2 linked regions of the Diceros bicornis minor genome follow. The protein of the gene in region 1 interacts with the protein of each later gene in a pairwise test. Links are inferred from orthologs where the notes say so. Each region holds a gene or a part of one and is shown in the gene's direction. Other genes may lie near its edges.

The links.
Region 2: the proteins of STX11 (region 1) and CCDC184 interact in binary tests that used the Homo sapiens proteins (3 or more experiments, as listed by UniProt). The two-hybrid records come from large-scale screens. The link is inferred for Diceros bicornis minor from reciprocal best matches to the Homo sapiens genes STX11 and CCDC184.

Annotation. Positions count from the first base shown.
Region 1 is NC_080778.1:23,344,364-23,351,939, forward strand, and holds the start of STX11 (syntaxin-11), read left to right. Parts: upstream 1-4,506; 5' UTR 4,507-4,599; exon of another isoform or gene 4,600-4,677; intron 4,678-4,841; 5' UTR 4,842-4,981; coding exon 4,982-5,030; intron 5,031-7,576. UniProt on the Homo sapiens protein: SNARE that acts to regulate protein transport between late endosomes and the trans-Golgi network.
Region 2 is NC_080756.1:21,742,935-21,750,600, reverse strand, and holds CCDC184 (coiled-coil domain-containing protein 184), read left to right. Parts: upstream 1-4,988; 5' UTR 4,989-5,325; coding exon 5,326-5,916; 3' UTR 5,917-7,139; downstream 7,140-7,666.

The DNA of each region.
Region 1 (7,576 bases):
GAAATCAATCACAAAAAGAAAACTGGAAAATTCACAAATATGTGGAGATTTAACAACATGCTACTGAACAACTAATGGGTCAAAAATAAGTCAAAAGAGAAATCAAAAAATATCTTGAAACAAATGAAAATGGAAGCACAACATACCAAAACATATGAGATTAGCAAAAGCAGTTCTAAGAGGGAAATTCATAGCAATAGACCCCTACATTAAGAAAAAGAAAGAGTTCAAATAAACAACCTAACTTTACATCTCATAGAACTAGAAAATGAAGAACAAACTACCCAAAGTTAGTAGAAAGAAGGAAATAACAAAGATCAAAGTGGAAATAAATGAAGTAGAGACTAAAAAGACAGTACAGAAAAAAAATCGATGAAACTAAGAGCTAGTTTTTTAAAGAGATAAACAAAATGGACAACCCTTTAGCTAGACTCACCAAGAAAAAGAGAGGACTCAAATAAATGAAATCATAAATGAAAGAGAAGGGCCAGCCCCAGTGGCCTAGTGGTTAGGTTCAGTGTGTTCCGCTTCAACGGCCCGGGTTTGGTTCCTGGGTGCAGACCTACACCACTCGTCCGTATTGGCCATGCTGTGGCAGTGGCTCACATACAAAAAGAGGAAAATTGGCAGCAGATGCTAGCTCAGAGTGAATCTGCCTCAGCAAAAAAAAAAAAAAGAAATAAAAAAGGAGATGTTACAACTGATACCACAAAAATACAAAAGATTATAAGAGACAATTATATACCAACAAATTAGACAACCTAGAAGAAATGGATAAATTGCTAGAAACATACAACCTACCAAGACTGAATCATGAAGAAATAGAACATCTGAATAGATCAATTACTTCTAAGGAGATTGATTCAGTAATAAAAAACCTTCCGGCAGACAAGAGTCCAAGACCACGTTGCTTCACTGGTGAATATTACCAAACATTTAAAGAATAATTAATACCTATCCTTCCCAAACTCTTCCAAAAAATAGAAGAGAACACTTCCAAACTTGTTTTACAAGGCCAGCATTACCCTGATATGAAAACCAGACAAAGACTCTACAAGAAGAGAAAATTACAGGCCAATACCCCTGATGAACACAGATGCAAAAATCCTTAACAAAATATTAGCAAACCAAATTCAACAATACATTAAAAGGATCACACACCATGATCAAGTGAGATTTATTCCAGGGAAGCAAGGATGGTTCAACATCCCCAAATCGATCAATGTAATACACCACATTAACAAAACAAAGGATGAAAATCATGACCATCTCGATGCAGAAAAAGCATTTGACAAAATGCAACATTCATTCATAATAAAAACTCTCAACAATGTGAGTACAGAGGGAATGTACCTCAATATAATAAAGACCATATAGGACAAGCCCACAGTTAACATCATATTCAATGGTGAAAAGCTGAAAGCGTTTCCTCTAAGATCAAGAACACGGCAAGGATGCCCATTCTCTTCACTTTTATTCAACATCGTACTGGAAGTCGTAGCCAGAGCAATTAGGCAAGAAAATAAATAAAAGTCATACAAATTGAAAAGGTAGAAGCAAAAGTGTCACTATTTGCAGATGATATGATATTATATGTAGAAAACCCTAACGAATCCACTAAAACACTGTTGAAACTAATAAGTGAATTCAGTAAAATTGCAGGATACAAAATATGCATGCAAAAATCAGTTGCATTTCTATACACTAATAACAAACTATTAGAAAGAGAAATTAAGACAACAACCCCATTTACAATTGCATCAAAAAAAATATATCTAGGAATAAATTTAGCCAAGGAGGTGAAAGATCTGTTCACTAAAAACTATAAGACATTGGTGAAAGAAATTGAACAAAACACAACTAAATGGAAAGATATTTCATGTTCATAGATTGAAAAGAATTGATATTGTGAAAAGGTCCATACTACACAAAGCAGTCTACAGATTCAATGCAATCCCTATCAAAATTCCAACACCATTTTTCACAGAAATAGGCCACATAATTCTAAAATTTGTATGGAACCACAAAAGACCCCAAATAGCAGAAGCAATCTTGAGAAAGAACAAAGGTAAAAGCATCACATTTCCTGATTTTAAACTCTATTACAAAATTATAGTAATGAAAACATATGGCATTGGCATAAAAGCAGACACACAGATCAAGGGAACAGAATAGAGATCCCTGAAATAAACTCACACATATATGATTAACTAATTTATGACAAAGGAGTTAAGACTATACAATGGGGAAAGAACAGTCTCTTCAATAAATGGTGTTGGGAAAACTGGACAGCCACATGCAAAAGAATGAGATTGGACCCCTATCTTACACCATGCCCAAAAATCAGTACAAAATGGAGTAAAGACTTAAACGTAAGACCTGAAACCAGAAAACTCCTAGAAGAAAACATAGAGGGTAAGCTCCTTGACATCAGTCTTGGCAATGATTTTTTGGATTTGACACCAAAAGCAAAGTCAACAAGGAACAGCCTCAGTGGCCTAGTGGCTAAGTTCAGCTCACTCTGCTTCAGTGGCCCAGGTTCGGTTCCTGGGTGCGGACCTACACCACTTTTCTGTAGTGGCCATGCTGTGACAGTGGCTCACATACAAAAAGAGGAAGATTGGCAGTGGATGTTAGCTCAGGCCGAATCTTCCTCAGCAAAAAAAAAAAAAAAAAGCAAAGTCGACAAAAGCAAAAATAAACAAGAGGGACTACACCAAATAAAAAACTTTTGCACAGCAAAGGAAACCATCAACCAAATGAAAAGGCAACCTATGGAATGGGAAAAATATTTGCCAATCATTTATCTGAGAAGGGGCTAATATCCAAAATATATAAAGGACTCATACAACTCAATAGCAGAAAAACCAATCTGATTAAAAAATGGGCAGAGGAACTGAATAGATATTTCTCAGAAGAAGACATGTAGATGATCAACAGGTACATGAAAAGTACCTGTGCTCAACATCACTAATCATTAGGAAAATGCAAGCCAAAACCATAATGATATATCGCTTCACACCTGTTAGAATGGCTATCATCAAAAAGACAAGGGCTAATAAGTTTTGGCCATAGATGTGGAGAAAAGAACCCTTGGGCACCGGTGGTGGGATTGTAAATTGGTGCAGCCACCATGGGAAACAATATGGAGGTTCCTCAAAAAATTAAAAATAGAACTACCATATGATCCAGCAATCCCACTTCTGGGTATATATCCAAAGGAAATGAAAACAGGACTTCGAAGAGACATCCACACTCTCATGTTTATTGCAGCATTATTCACAATAGCCAAGATATGGAAACACCCTAAATGTCCATCATCAAATGAATGAATAAAGAAGATATAGTATATATATGTACAATGGAATATTACTCAGCCATGAGAAAGAAGGAAATCCTGTCATTTATAGCAACATGGATAGAACTTGAGGGTATTATGTTAAGTGAAATAAGCCAGATAGAGAAAGACAAATACTGCATGGTATCACTTATATATGGAATCTAAAAAAAAAAAGGAGTCAAACTCATACAAAGAGAATTGAAAAGGGATTGCCAGGGGCTGGGGGGTGGGGGGAATAGGGAAGGTAGGTAAAAGAGTACTAACATTCAGCTATAAGATGAATTGGATGAGGATCCAGTGTAGACGTGGTAACTATGGTTGATAACACTGTATTATACAACTGAAATTTGCTAAGAGAGTAAAACTTAAATGTTCTCTTCAAAAAAAAAAAGATAAATATGGGAGGTGATGGATATGTTAACTAACTAGATGGTGGGAATTTTTTCACAATGCATACATATATCAAATCACCACAATGCACACTTTAAATATCTTACAATTATATTTGTCAATTATACCTCAATAAAGCTGAAAAAAATTCATGGATTGATGATTCAAGATGCATGTACTTTAAAAGGAAAAATCATAGCAACGATGATGAAGATCATTCAAATGAGTGTCTATTGTCTTCAAAATAAAGGGAATTGTATAGATGACAAGTGAAATACAAAATACCCCAATGCACATTTTAATTTTAGAACAAACAATTTTGGTTTCACTTCATCAAAACGATATTAAATCAATGCTGTTTATTTTAATATTATTAATTTTATAGTTTTTATGTGTAGATTGGTTTGGAGCCATAAGGAATTTATACCATGTTTATGTAACTAATATTGTATTTATATTATATTCAGCTAACAGAGTAGAAATAACCTGTTAACACCAGGTGCCGTATCTTCTTTTTCCTTGAAGAAGGGTCCACTCATTACTTAAGTTGGAAGGTGGTGTACTAGGACCATGAAAGAAATAAGGCGTGAATAGATTATGTCCCTCACTCACATTTGCACTGTAATCAATCATGAATTCCGATTTGGATGAGGGCATTTGTTTTGTAAATGTTTCTTTGTGACTGGGGATGTAGAGCTGTGGCAAAAGTTCCTGTTTCATAATTCACCTTTGCCCATCACCAACTTGTAGAAAAGAGGCTTTAAAGAAATCAGCTGGAGTGACCTGCTTTCAACACCCAGAGCCAGTGATGCAACGCCGTGTCAACTCCTGTGAAAGATTCCTCCTCATACTCGGGGCACAGAAGTAAGGTAAGGAGCTGTGGACTGACAGGAACATCTGTCAGCTTCTCCAAGGTGTCCTCAACAAGATCATCATCCCAAAGGCAGGTATGCTCAAGGAAAGACTGTCTGTTGAATCCGTGAGGTCACTTCTCAGATGTCGATCTGTTTTCACTGTATCACTTTAGTGAGTTCATCTTAAAAACATATTCATCATTTGAAACACGTTTGGTTTTTGTGGTGCCAATATTGTACTATTATATTTCCTTTAGGATCACGGAAGGATGCTGGCTGTGGTCCATGAACTCACAGGAATTATGAGCCATCTTTGAGGAGGGAATCTGTCCGTCTGAAGAGAGACCCAAAGGGAAATCAGACAAGTAAAGACGTGCAGCTGCAGCAAGGGGACAAAATGGATGAAGAGGAGGAAAAAGAGACGAAAACCATGTCTCAGCCCCAAAGTAAGGCTTTTTGGTATAGAAATACCTAGTTTATAAACCGGTAGCACAAATTCATCTACATGAACAAAATATTAATGTAAAAAAGTTTAGTCTATCTAGTGAAAATTACACTTGTTGAGAACTAATTTAGTTGTTCAAATTCAAAATCAATAATTAAAGGCTTATGACTAAACTATTGTCTGGAAAAGGCACTGCTTATTTGTTACATTCTGTTTATGCTTTTCTGTTTCACTATTAACAGTTCCGCAGGACAGCGTGATGGTGTAAAAAGGGGTTTACCAGAAGTGACTGTTGAGTAACAGTCTCATCTAAAAATACTTTTGCAACCTGTTATGCAAAATCACAGCTACAGAAAAATTATTAGGAACTGTTAAGCGGATCAGTTATACTATCTCTAGACCCAATTTTTCAGCCTGTTCTTTTTCAGGGAGAATGTTCAATTTGTATGCTTAGAGCAGCTAGTACATGCTCAACTTCAGGCCTCTTACAGCAAGTATGCCAATATATTAGAGGAAAGTTTTCACTTAACTGCAATTTGGGTTAGAATAAAAATACAACAGTGTCATTTCAGGAATTGCAGGCAGGGATAAAATGTAACTAACACCAAAATAGTGCAATTTCCACCACTTGTTTCCTACCCTTCCTTGTGTACCATCCACAGAAAAGTAAGCTTACTAAACAACAAGAAATTTGGTTTTCTATGAGAGTTATCTATTGCATTCTTTTCTTTCTTTTTTTTTCTTAGTAATTTTTCCAGGCTTACTTAGATTTTGACATTGCTCTTTGAGTGCAGGTAACAGGATAAAAGAAATCATTTGCTTTGGAAAGGTCTTATTTTTTGCTTCTTCTGTGGTCTTCGATGTTGTTCCCGGATTCTTTATTGATGGCTAAGAGTGCAGACTTCCATGTCAGACGCTGGGATTTGAACCTAGAGTCCTTTGCTTGCTGATGCAGGGACATTGGACGTTTACAGCTCATTTCCTCCTCTGCCAAATGGGGTTGAGTTGTGCACACTTCAAAAATTTGCGTTGAGAATTAAATTATATGAAAACATTAACACCATGCTTGGCACATTGTAACTGAACAATAAGTATTTGTTATCTTTAATACAGGTATTAGCATTATGGAGTTTGTACTTTTTTAATGATTTATGTTTGCTAATAATTGTACAATTAAATCTTGTGTTTCAAGGGTGGCTTAGTTTATCTGGGTTACATGTTATAACAAAAATACTCTAGACTGTGTGGCCTATAAACAACAGAAATTTATTTCTCTCAGTTCTGGAGGCTGGGAAATCTAAGATCAAGGTGCTGACAGAGTCAGTGTCTGATGAGAGCACGCTTCCTGGTTCATAGATGGCTATCTTCTTGCTGTGTCCTCACACAGAGGAAGGGGCAAGGGTGCTCTCTGGGGCCTCTTTTACAAGGGCACTAATCCCACTCATGAGCACTCCATCCTCATGACCTAATCACCTCCCAAGTCCCCACCTTCTAATATCATCACACTGGGGATTAGGTTTTAACATAAGAATTTTGGGGACACAAACATTCAGTGTACAGGAACGAGTTAGAAACTGTGTTCTCTGGTAAGCTGTGTACGTTGAGTAACGATGGCTTGTTTGCAGTACTGAAGTACAGATTTCCTCATACACCTGGAAGTAATTTTAAGTTATTAGCTATTGAAATATTTAAAACCATAAAAATTAACCTATTTACTTTAAAGTCTTATTTATATATTTCTGTAAATTACATTTTATGTAGAGAAGCTATATGCAAAAAGATTTACCTGTGAATTTGAGAATATTTTTCTAGTCTAAGTGTACTGAAGAAAAATTTATATAATATGATGTACAACATGGTTTCTTCATAAAGGTAACCAGTGGATTGAAATAAAGAGATGAGGGCTGGCCCCGTGGCTTAGCGGTTAAGTGTACGTGCTCCGCTCCTTGGTGGCCCAGGTTCAGATCCCGGGCGTGCACCGATGCGGCCATGCTGAGGCCGTGTCCCACATACAGCAACTAGAAGGATGTGCAACTATGACATACAACTATCTACTGGGGCTTTAGGGGGAAAAATAAATAAATAAAGTTTAAAAAAAAAAAAGAAGAAATAAAGAGATGACAGTAACATCAGGGAACTTTTTTTAGGAAGATTGGCCCTGTGCTAACATCTATTGCCAATCTTCCTCTTTTTCTTTTTTCTCTCCAAAGCCCCAGTACGTAGTTGTGTGTCATAGTTGTAGAGTTGTAGCTCTTCTACGTGGGACGCCTCCTCAGCACGGCTTGATGAGCGGTAAGTATGTCTGTGCCCAGGATCGGAACCCACGAAAGCTGGGCTACTGAAGTGGGCCGTGCGAACTTAACGGCTATGCCACCGGGCTGACCCCCAGGGAATATTTTTGTAAGGACTGTAGGTATAAAATTTTCAGAACAAGGATTTGGACGCTGTGCTCTAGCTACTAATTAAGAATGCTTGATCAGTTAGAGTCCCAATGTGAAACAAGACGGCACGTTCAAATGAGGATAATTCAAGGAAGGTTTATAAATA
Region 2 (7,666 bases), on another chromosome or scaffold:
TAGAAACCAATTTTGATAGTATTTTTAGGGCCTTTGAGAGGTATGAAGAGGGCATAACTAGAGGTATTAGTAAGAGTGAGACTTACAAAATTTTGTATGAATTGTTTACAATAGAATACCACAGACTTCCTCAAGATATGACAGGTGAGAAGGGGCCTGAAAGTTTGCATAAGTCAGTATTGAGGAACACTTCTTTAAATGGAAGGGAAATCTGTGGCAGACATACCACAGTCCATACCCTGCCCAGATACTTGGACATAATTTCCTCCAAATTGGACTGATACTCTGGGAGAGGTAATTTGTCAAGAAAAATTGCCCCATAGCACCAGAAATTGTGAGTGTTCTCAGGTGGTACAGCATTATCAATGCCTGATAAGGATTATGACTTGCAGCCAAACCAAGCCCTGAGCTGTTGGCAATTTTCTGGGGGGAGAAAATATAGGGAGAGGATGGAGGGTGCATGAGGCCCTGTACCTCAGAGGTCATGGGTAGCTCTAGATCTCTGAATGCCTGTGTCTGTGGCCAACTACCCAGCAACATTTAGACTGGATCTAGTTATGTCAGAGTGGCACAGGATAAATGACTGAAGATGCACTGAGAGGTGGAAAAAGACCTCTGCAAGTGTTGACATAAGAGAGGCTGTTGCAGAGGGGTGAGGGTGAACACCAGCAAAACAGGTTAAATTGGAATGACAGGTTATTTTCAGTGGAAATTGAGACTGTGTGAGAAGTTGGAAGGTCCTCTGGAATTCTTGCTCTGAGTAAAATTAATATGGAAGAGAAAGAAATGGGGGAGGGGGTTGCCTTTAAGACTCCTAAAAATAGTTTGAGGGCACACAGCAAGCAACTGAAAGTCCAGTTCAGGCCTTAAGTGAGGGGTGTGTGTGTGTGGCTCACCTCATGGCCATGTCTGTGACACTAAAGACTCTTGAGAGTGTGGACAGTTGGACCCTCTCTTCTGTCAGAAGCTTATAAGGGCTGAGAGTCCTTGCAAACTGTCATGCCCATTACTGTACAAGTGTGGAGGAGATAAGCAAAGCAGGTTGGCTGTAACACCAGGCAAACCACCCTCTTATGCTGAGAAAGTTTAGTCTATGTGACAGACAAAACCCACAACAATATGCATATTCTCAGCCTTTCAGTCTTTATTACCCTCTAGGAGGGAGACCTCTGTCACTGTCCTGGCACCTATGCAGACCAGGGGAATGAGGGACAGAAGCCAAGGAGCTGAAACCAGGACAAGGAGTTTCTTCTTGCAGAAGAGAAAAAGAATTCACCCTGGAAGTGAAGGGGTTGGGGGAGTGAAAAAGCAAGGGCCAGGCTTGAGAGAAAGTTTGGGGGTGTTTGGGGAGAATGGAAACAGAATGGCAGCAACAGCTATGCCATAATATGTGAGATGAATAGAGAAGGAGGGAAGAGAAGTTTAAGATGTTTTGCTCTGTGCTAGGAAGGCAAACTCCTTAAGAGTTTTACCAGAGACTATATTAAAAATCCAAAGTGCTTTTTAATTCTTTTTGGCCATTGGATGTGTTTCTTTTCAATGTGATATGCTGAGATGGGCCACAAGGCAACTCAGCTTCATAAAAGTTACATTTGGGGAGTATTGTGGATCTAAGGTGCAGCAGTCAGCTGTACCTTGATTTTGACCATCATTCTAGATTTGAGTCAAGTGAGCATCTTCATCATGACCATTGGATTTATAGTGCAAACAGTACACTGGCTATATAAAATAGAGACTGGAGATAAACTAAACATGAGATAGAGGAAAATGGCAGAGACTACTAAGAACCACAACTTGTGATGTTTGGAACTAGGTGTACCTGACAGAGACCTAAATCTATGCAGCATGGAGTGCCCTCCCCCAATTGGCTGGTGAGACTGGGATGAAGGAATATAACGGCTAAGGCAATTCCCATAGGATAAAAGAAAGGCAAAAAACAGAAGAGGAGCGTGTAGGGCTTATTTTTCTCTCTACGTGGCATACTTGCTATGTGTGAATACTCTAGTGACATGGCCAGAGTATCCATTTAGCCCACTTTTGCTTGGGAATGGATCCACTCAACAAACCCTAGGGCATTGGCATCCAGAGGGCCCAGCCCTGTAACCCAGCCAGCTGACTGAGGCTCCGCTTTGCTTTCTGCATCTGTCCCCCTTATTTTTCTGAGACTAGACCTTTCTTCCATTTTCGCTTGTCTCACTTTCCACACAGAATTCCTAAAATGATCTGGTTCTGAATCTGATGCACCAATGGTCTCCTCCTTATATTTTCAAGTCCTGCTACTAGTCCACTCCCCCAGTTCCCACCTACCCTTGGCTCTCAAATGTCTGACCTGGAACTTGACTGGATCAGCCACACCCCTTGATCTCTGCACCTGTTTCCTATGTTCTTTCATGCTTCTCCAATACTTCCCCCTCCCTCTAGGCTCAGACTCCCTGTACTCTCAGCAGACTTCATGCCAGTGCCTCTGGGCAGCATGATGTAATCCTATGCTGAAACCCTTGACACACAGGGTATCCTTAACAATAGTGGCAAAGGACATTGTATGATGGCATAACCCAGCTCCTACTGTCTAGGGGCTATGTTTAATGTATAGTTAAGCCTAAAATGGGAGGTCCTATACTGGGGACAGGATCACTCCTTGTAGATAGAAGGCAGGGACCCACCTGAAGGGTAAGGGAGCTGGCAAGATGAAATCATCCATGTGAAGTGCTGGTCAAGAGATGTGAAGTAACAGACCCAGACAAAAAAAAAAGAAAGTCATGTCAGTCTTTTCTGGCTACTGCAGAGCTCTCCTGGGAAGGATGAACAGAGGGTGGAACCTGTATGAGCTGAGAACATGCTTGCTGTAGTATGATCAGAAACTTATGCTGTGTAAGCTCAGCTGTTTTTTGTTTTGTCTCTGTTTCTAGTTTTCCTATAGTTTTTTTGGTAAAGTTTTTCAAAATACCAGCCCACTTCCGGTGTGCTTAGGGAAATCAAGGAAAAGCATTTCTGTCTTCTCCTGAACTTTAGGAATAACCTGTGGGGCACATGGTGGAGGTAGGAGTGATAACCAAGGTGAGAGCACCTCAAGTTTGTGCAACGAAGGAAGGAATGAACAAGCAAATGGGATTGAATCATTTGTTTTAGAAAATACAATACTGTAGGGTTTTTAATTTGTTCATATATTTGTTTTGGGGAAATCAAATTTCTAATGGTTGCATAATACTTTATTATATCAGCAATGCCTTAAACATTTTGTTGTTTAGACTATTTCCCCATTTATTTCTATTTTGACAGCAGCAAGACACGCATAGGTCAAACAGTTTTTTAGTGCCATAAAAGTTTCTCTGGGTCAGCCCCACTCTTCAGCATTAGAGTATGCAACCAGGGAAACACCAAGGTAATACAATTGCTATGGTTGAACCACTAGTATACAAAATGCTCACCCATTCCTAGCTTTTCCCCATCTTGAAGTGATGTGGCTTGTTTCTCCTCTCCAGATTTGTTTTTGTGAACTTCATTTTTGGTTTCTGACTACTTGGTTTCTCCAGTTTATTAAGGTCATTATTAGTTAGTATGCTGCTGCCCATGTGCTGTTTGCTTCTTAATCTGAAGTCATCTGTAAATACATTAAACTCAATTTTTCTTCTTCCTCCTCCCCTTCCGCTCCATCCCTCAAATAGGGAAAGGAGTCATCACACAGGTTGAGACACTCAGTGTATGCAGTCTGTACAGGGGCACTGGGCCTGCAGAGGGGGAATGACGCTCACACACAGTCCCCCCATCCATCCCTTACATTGTCAACAACTCACCCTTTCACCTGTGAGCTGACACAGAGTGTAATTCAGAGGTAGAAATAATATTATAGATTATACAGTACAATTCCCTAACAGATCAGGAAAATGATTTATTCAAGGTCTCTGAATTAATAAGCGGCAAAAACAAAACTGAATTCAGGTCTCCTAAAATCCACTACGTGTAGGCGGAGAGTTCCAGATGAGAGAATGGGACATAGTGGTTCTTGTTCAAGTATTCAGTCAACAAATGTATTGAGCATTTACGTACTTACTACGTGCCAGGCACTATTTTAGGTGCTGGGGATTCCGTGATGGAGGGCGCAGAGGTGACAAAAATCCCTGCCCGTATGGAGCTTTCGTTCTCAAAATTTAAGTACTTTGCCTTACCATCCTGGAAAAACTCCCAGAGCCCTGGGTAGGAGCAGTTGAGTCTCATATGGGAGGGAATCCCATCCTTTCTCAGCTCCTGTGCTATCAACAGCTAGAGGGGTGATTTACTGCAGAAGCCGAAGGGAGAGGGGAAACCTCCGTAGTCCCCTCCCCTGCCTCTGCATCGCCAACGCCGGGCGGGGCAGGCTCCAGGGCGCCACCGTGCCCCAGCTCAAGTCTGAGATTATTAGCATCAGCCTCTCTACCCTCTCTGCTCTCCTGCGGACGGCTGGAGGACAGAGAAGCAGGTCCCGGCTCTAGCGCCCTCTTCTAAAAAAGGACTGCAGGCGGGTGAAAATCCTTCCAAGGCAGTCGCGTTCAGAATCTAGTATCCAGCCTGGTAGAGGGACGATCTCTCCCAGACCTGAGGGTTTATGCAGCAAATTGCTCTCTCATGCTTCCCTATTAAACATTGCAGCCACACGCTCTTTCCAGCCTCAGCTGAGGTCACTGCAGCGTCCCCCCCACCCCGCACCCCCCAACCCCCGCTGGCTCAGACTCCAGAACTCCACTGCAGCTTCCCCACCATCCTCCTTTTCCTTCTCTACTTCCTGGTTGCCATGGAGACACACGTCATTTACGTGGCGTGCGTCGCCTTGGAAACACAGGAGCATCCGCGGCGCGGCTGGGAGACCCGCCTCTGCCGCTCCTACCACACTTCGCGAGCGCTGCTCGTTAATGGCCGGGGAGAGTCCCGAGCCGGACCCGCTGCTGGCCTCAGCCTCCACCCGGGCCCCTACGCGAGCGCTTCTGTGACTCAGGACACCGGCGGGCACTTGCTGCTGTGGCGTCCGCAGGGCGGCGCTGACACAGGCGCAGTTCAGGAGGGGAGGCAGGGCAGGGCGCTTTCGCCCCAGGGCGAGCCGGAGAGACGCCGGCCTTGGGACTCTCCTCGGGTGCTCGTCCCACCGGCGCTTCCCGGCCTCCGCCCATCCTGCCCTCGCCCTCCGCCCGGGACTTGGCTCCTCACTTCGGCTCCCCACCCGTCTCGGGAGCCTCCTCTTCCCTCGGCTCCTCCCCGCCCATCTGAGGACCTGTCCCCCTTCCCGCCCCTCCCCCACCCTGGACGCCGGGCTGGACCGGACCCAGAGCCGCCACCGCCCGTTTCTGCCACTCAATGGAGGACGGTCTGCTGGAGATCATGACCAAGGACGGCGGCGAAATGCCGGCACCTCTGGAGGTGTCCACCGTGCCGGCCGTGGGGGACGTGATCTCCGGGGAGTACAACGGCGGCATGAAGGAACTGATGGAGCACCTGAAGGCCCAGCTGCAGGCCCTGTTTGAGGACGTGAGAGCCATGCGGGGGGCCCTGGACGAGCAGGCCTCGCACATCCAGGTGCTCTCGGACGACGTGTGCGCCAACCAGCGGGCTATCGTCTCCATGTGCCGGATTATGACCACCGCGCCCCGCCAGGGCGGCCTGGGCGTGGTCGGCGGCAAGGGGAGCTTCTCGGGGCCCCCCCAAGAGACGGAGACCCCTTCGCCTGGGATCGGGGACAGCGATTTGCTGGGTCGCCATCCTGAGGACGAGGAGGATGACGATGAAGAAGAGGAAAAGGAGATGCCCAGCTCCGCCACACCCACTAGTCACTGTGAGCGCCCCGAGAGCCCCTGTGCTGGTCTCCTTGGGGGGGACGGGCCACTTGTGGAGCCCCTCGACCTCCCCGACATTACCCTGCTGCAGCTGGAGGGTGAGGCCTCTCTGTGAGGGGACTCGGAGGGGGCATTACTTTCCTGGGCTGGCTTTGGGTTTCCGAGTGCATGACGGAGGGGACTGAACGGCGCGGTGCAGCGTGCTTTACTCCGACCGCTGCTCTTGTGGGTCAGGCAGAGAGAGACTCCCTCGAGGAAGGATTTATAGGGTGAAGGACTTTGGGAGCATGGAGAATTCTTTCTGCCTAACCAAGCGAGACGTAGCAAACTGCGGAAAGGTGAGGTTCCGGGAGAGGAAGCGCCTACCTCTGGACTCCCATTCACCCCCTACTCTGCCCTTTCCCCCTTCCCAGCCAACAGGAGAACCCCCGAATTGTGTAAATAAAATTCTGCTTTTTCTATTCTGAAAAAGGACTTATCTAGGACTATGGCAAATAATCTCTAACGATTTACCTAGAAATTAAGGAATTGGGGGTATTCTGTTCTGGCAACAGAAAATTTACCCTTCTGCTGAAATCCAAGATATTCAGCGCTCTGCAGAAGCCTCTCCCCCTCACAGATCTCTGCGCCTGCTGATTGGTAAAGGAAGCTGGAGGAGGGAACTGCAGCCCTAGGAATCTGGGTGAATGGGGTTCCAAGGGCCCCTGGGCGGGGAGGAGCTGGCTATGAATGTGCATGAAGACATAATAGCTCAACCTCTAGGATTTTGCATGCAGAGCGGATCCTGCCTTGTCACTGACTTCATCTGGGATTGCTTTATCTACTCACTGGGGCTTAGAGAACAAAGCGCCCAGTTCACAGGCAGAGACTTGGGGGTGCTCAGCAACAGCTCAGATTTAGGGGACATTTGAGGGACTCTTGGGGGCTGCAGCCAAAAACCGTCTCTCTCCTGGCTACACCCGCTTAACTTCAGTTCTTTTTTCTGTCAATATGTCCCTGCCCACTGCCTCTCGGTGTTGCCTCCATAAAGTCTTGTGTGTGTTATGTGTGTCGACTTGTGTAGTAGTGTGTGAGCCCTGAGGGGCAGGGCTTGTGGCTCTGGTGTTAGGTTCAGGGGGCATCAGACCCTTTTGTGAGCCCCAGGCTATCATGGCACTTTCCCCTCTCTTTTCCTCTTTTCCCCCACAACCAGGGCATGGAGCATGTGGCTGTCCTGAGGTTCTTAACTGATGTGCCTCCCTCCCACCTCAAGTGGTGACTTTGTGTGCCCTTCCTCCTCCTCTGTGTATTCCTTCTCAATGCTTTCCTTGGTGTTAACCTTAATAAAGAGGCGTCATCTCCCCTCCTTGCTGACTGGTACTAGGGGGATGTCAGGGTGGGGCTTCTGGGCCCACTGCATGGACCAGGGCTTCCCTCCTCTCTCTTTGCCTCCAGTTTCAAGGAGTTAACCATCCTTGCCCTGGTTGGGACACACATTGCCAACTCTGTCTGCTTTCTCTTCCATCCTGGACCTTGACCTCAAGCTGGACTAGGGAAGGAGCGAGTACGTGTTGAGACTCCCAAACTAACAAGGGTTTTTAGTAGCCACAACTCCAGATGTGCAAGAGACTTCTTTTCAGTGAAGCACCTGACCCCTGGGAGATGATTTCCAAATTGGAGTCCTGGAATGGCAGGAATGACACCTGTTCCACTGGAGGGTAAGGGAGGGGTTCTTGTTTGGCAGGGACTGCTCTGGGAGTAGAGTGACACATCACAAAGGAAACCACAATAACTGCCTCAGGCCTCTAGTGGAGAATGCTGGTAAGGTGTTCCCCAGGGAGCTTAGACTGACATCAGCTCTAGTCTGCTCCCTTGGGTGCTGGAGA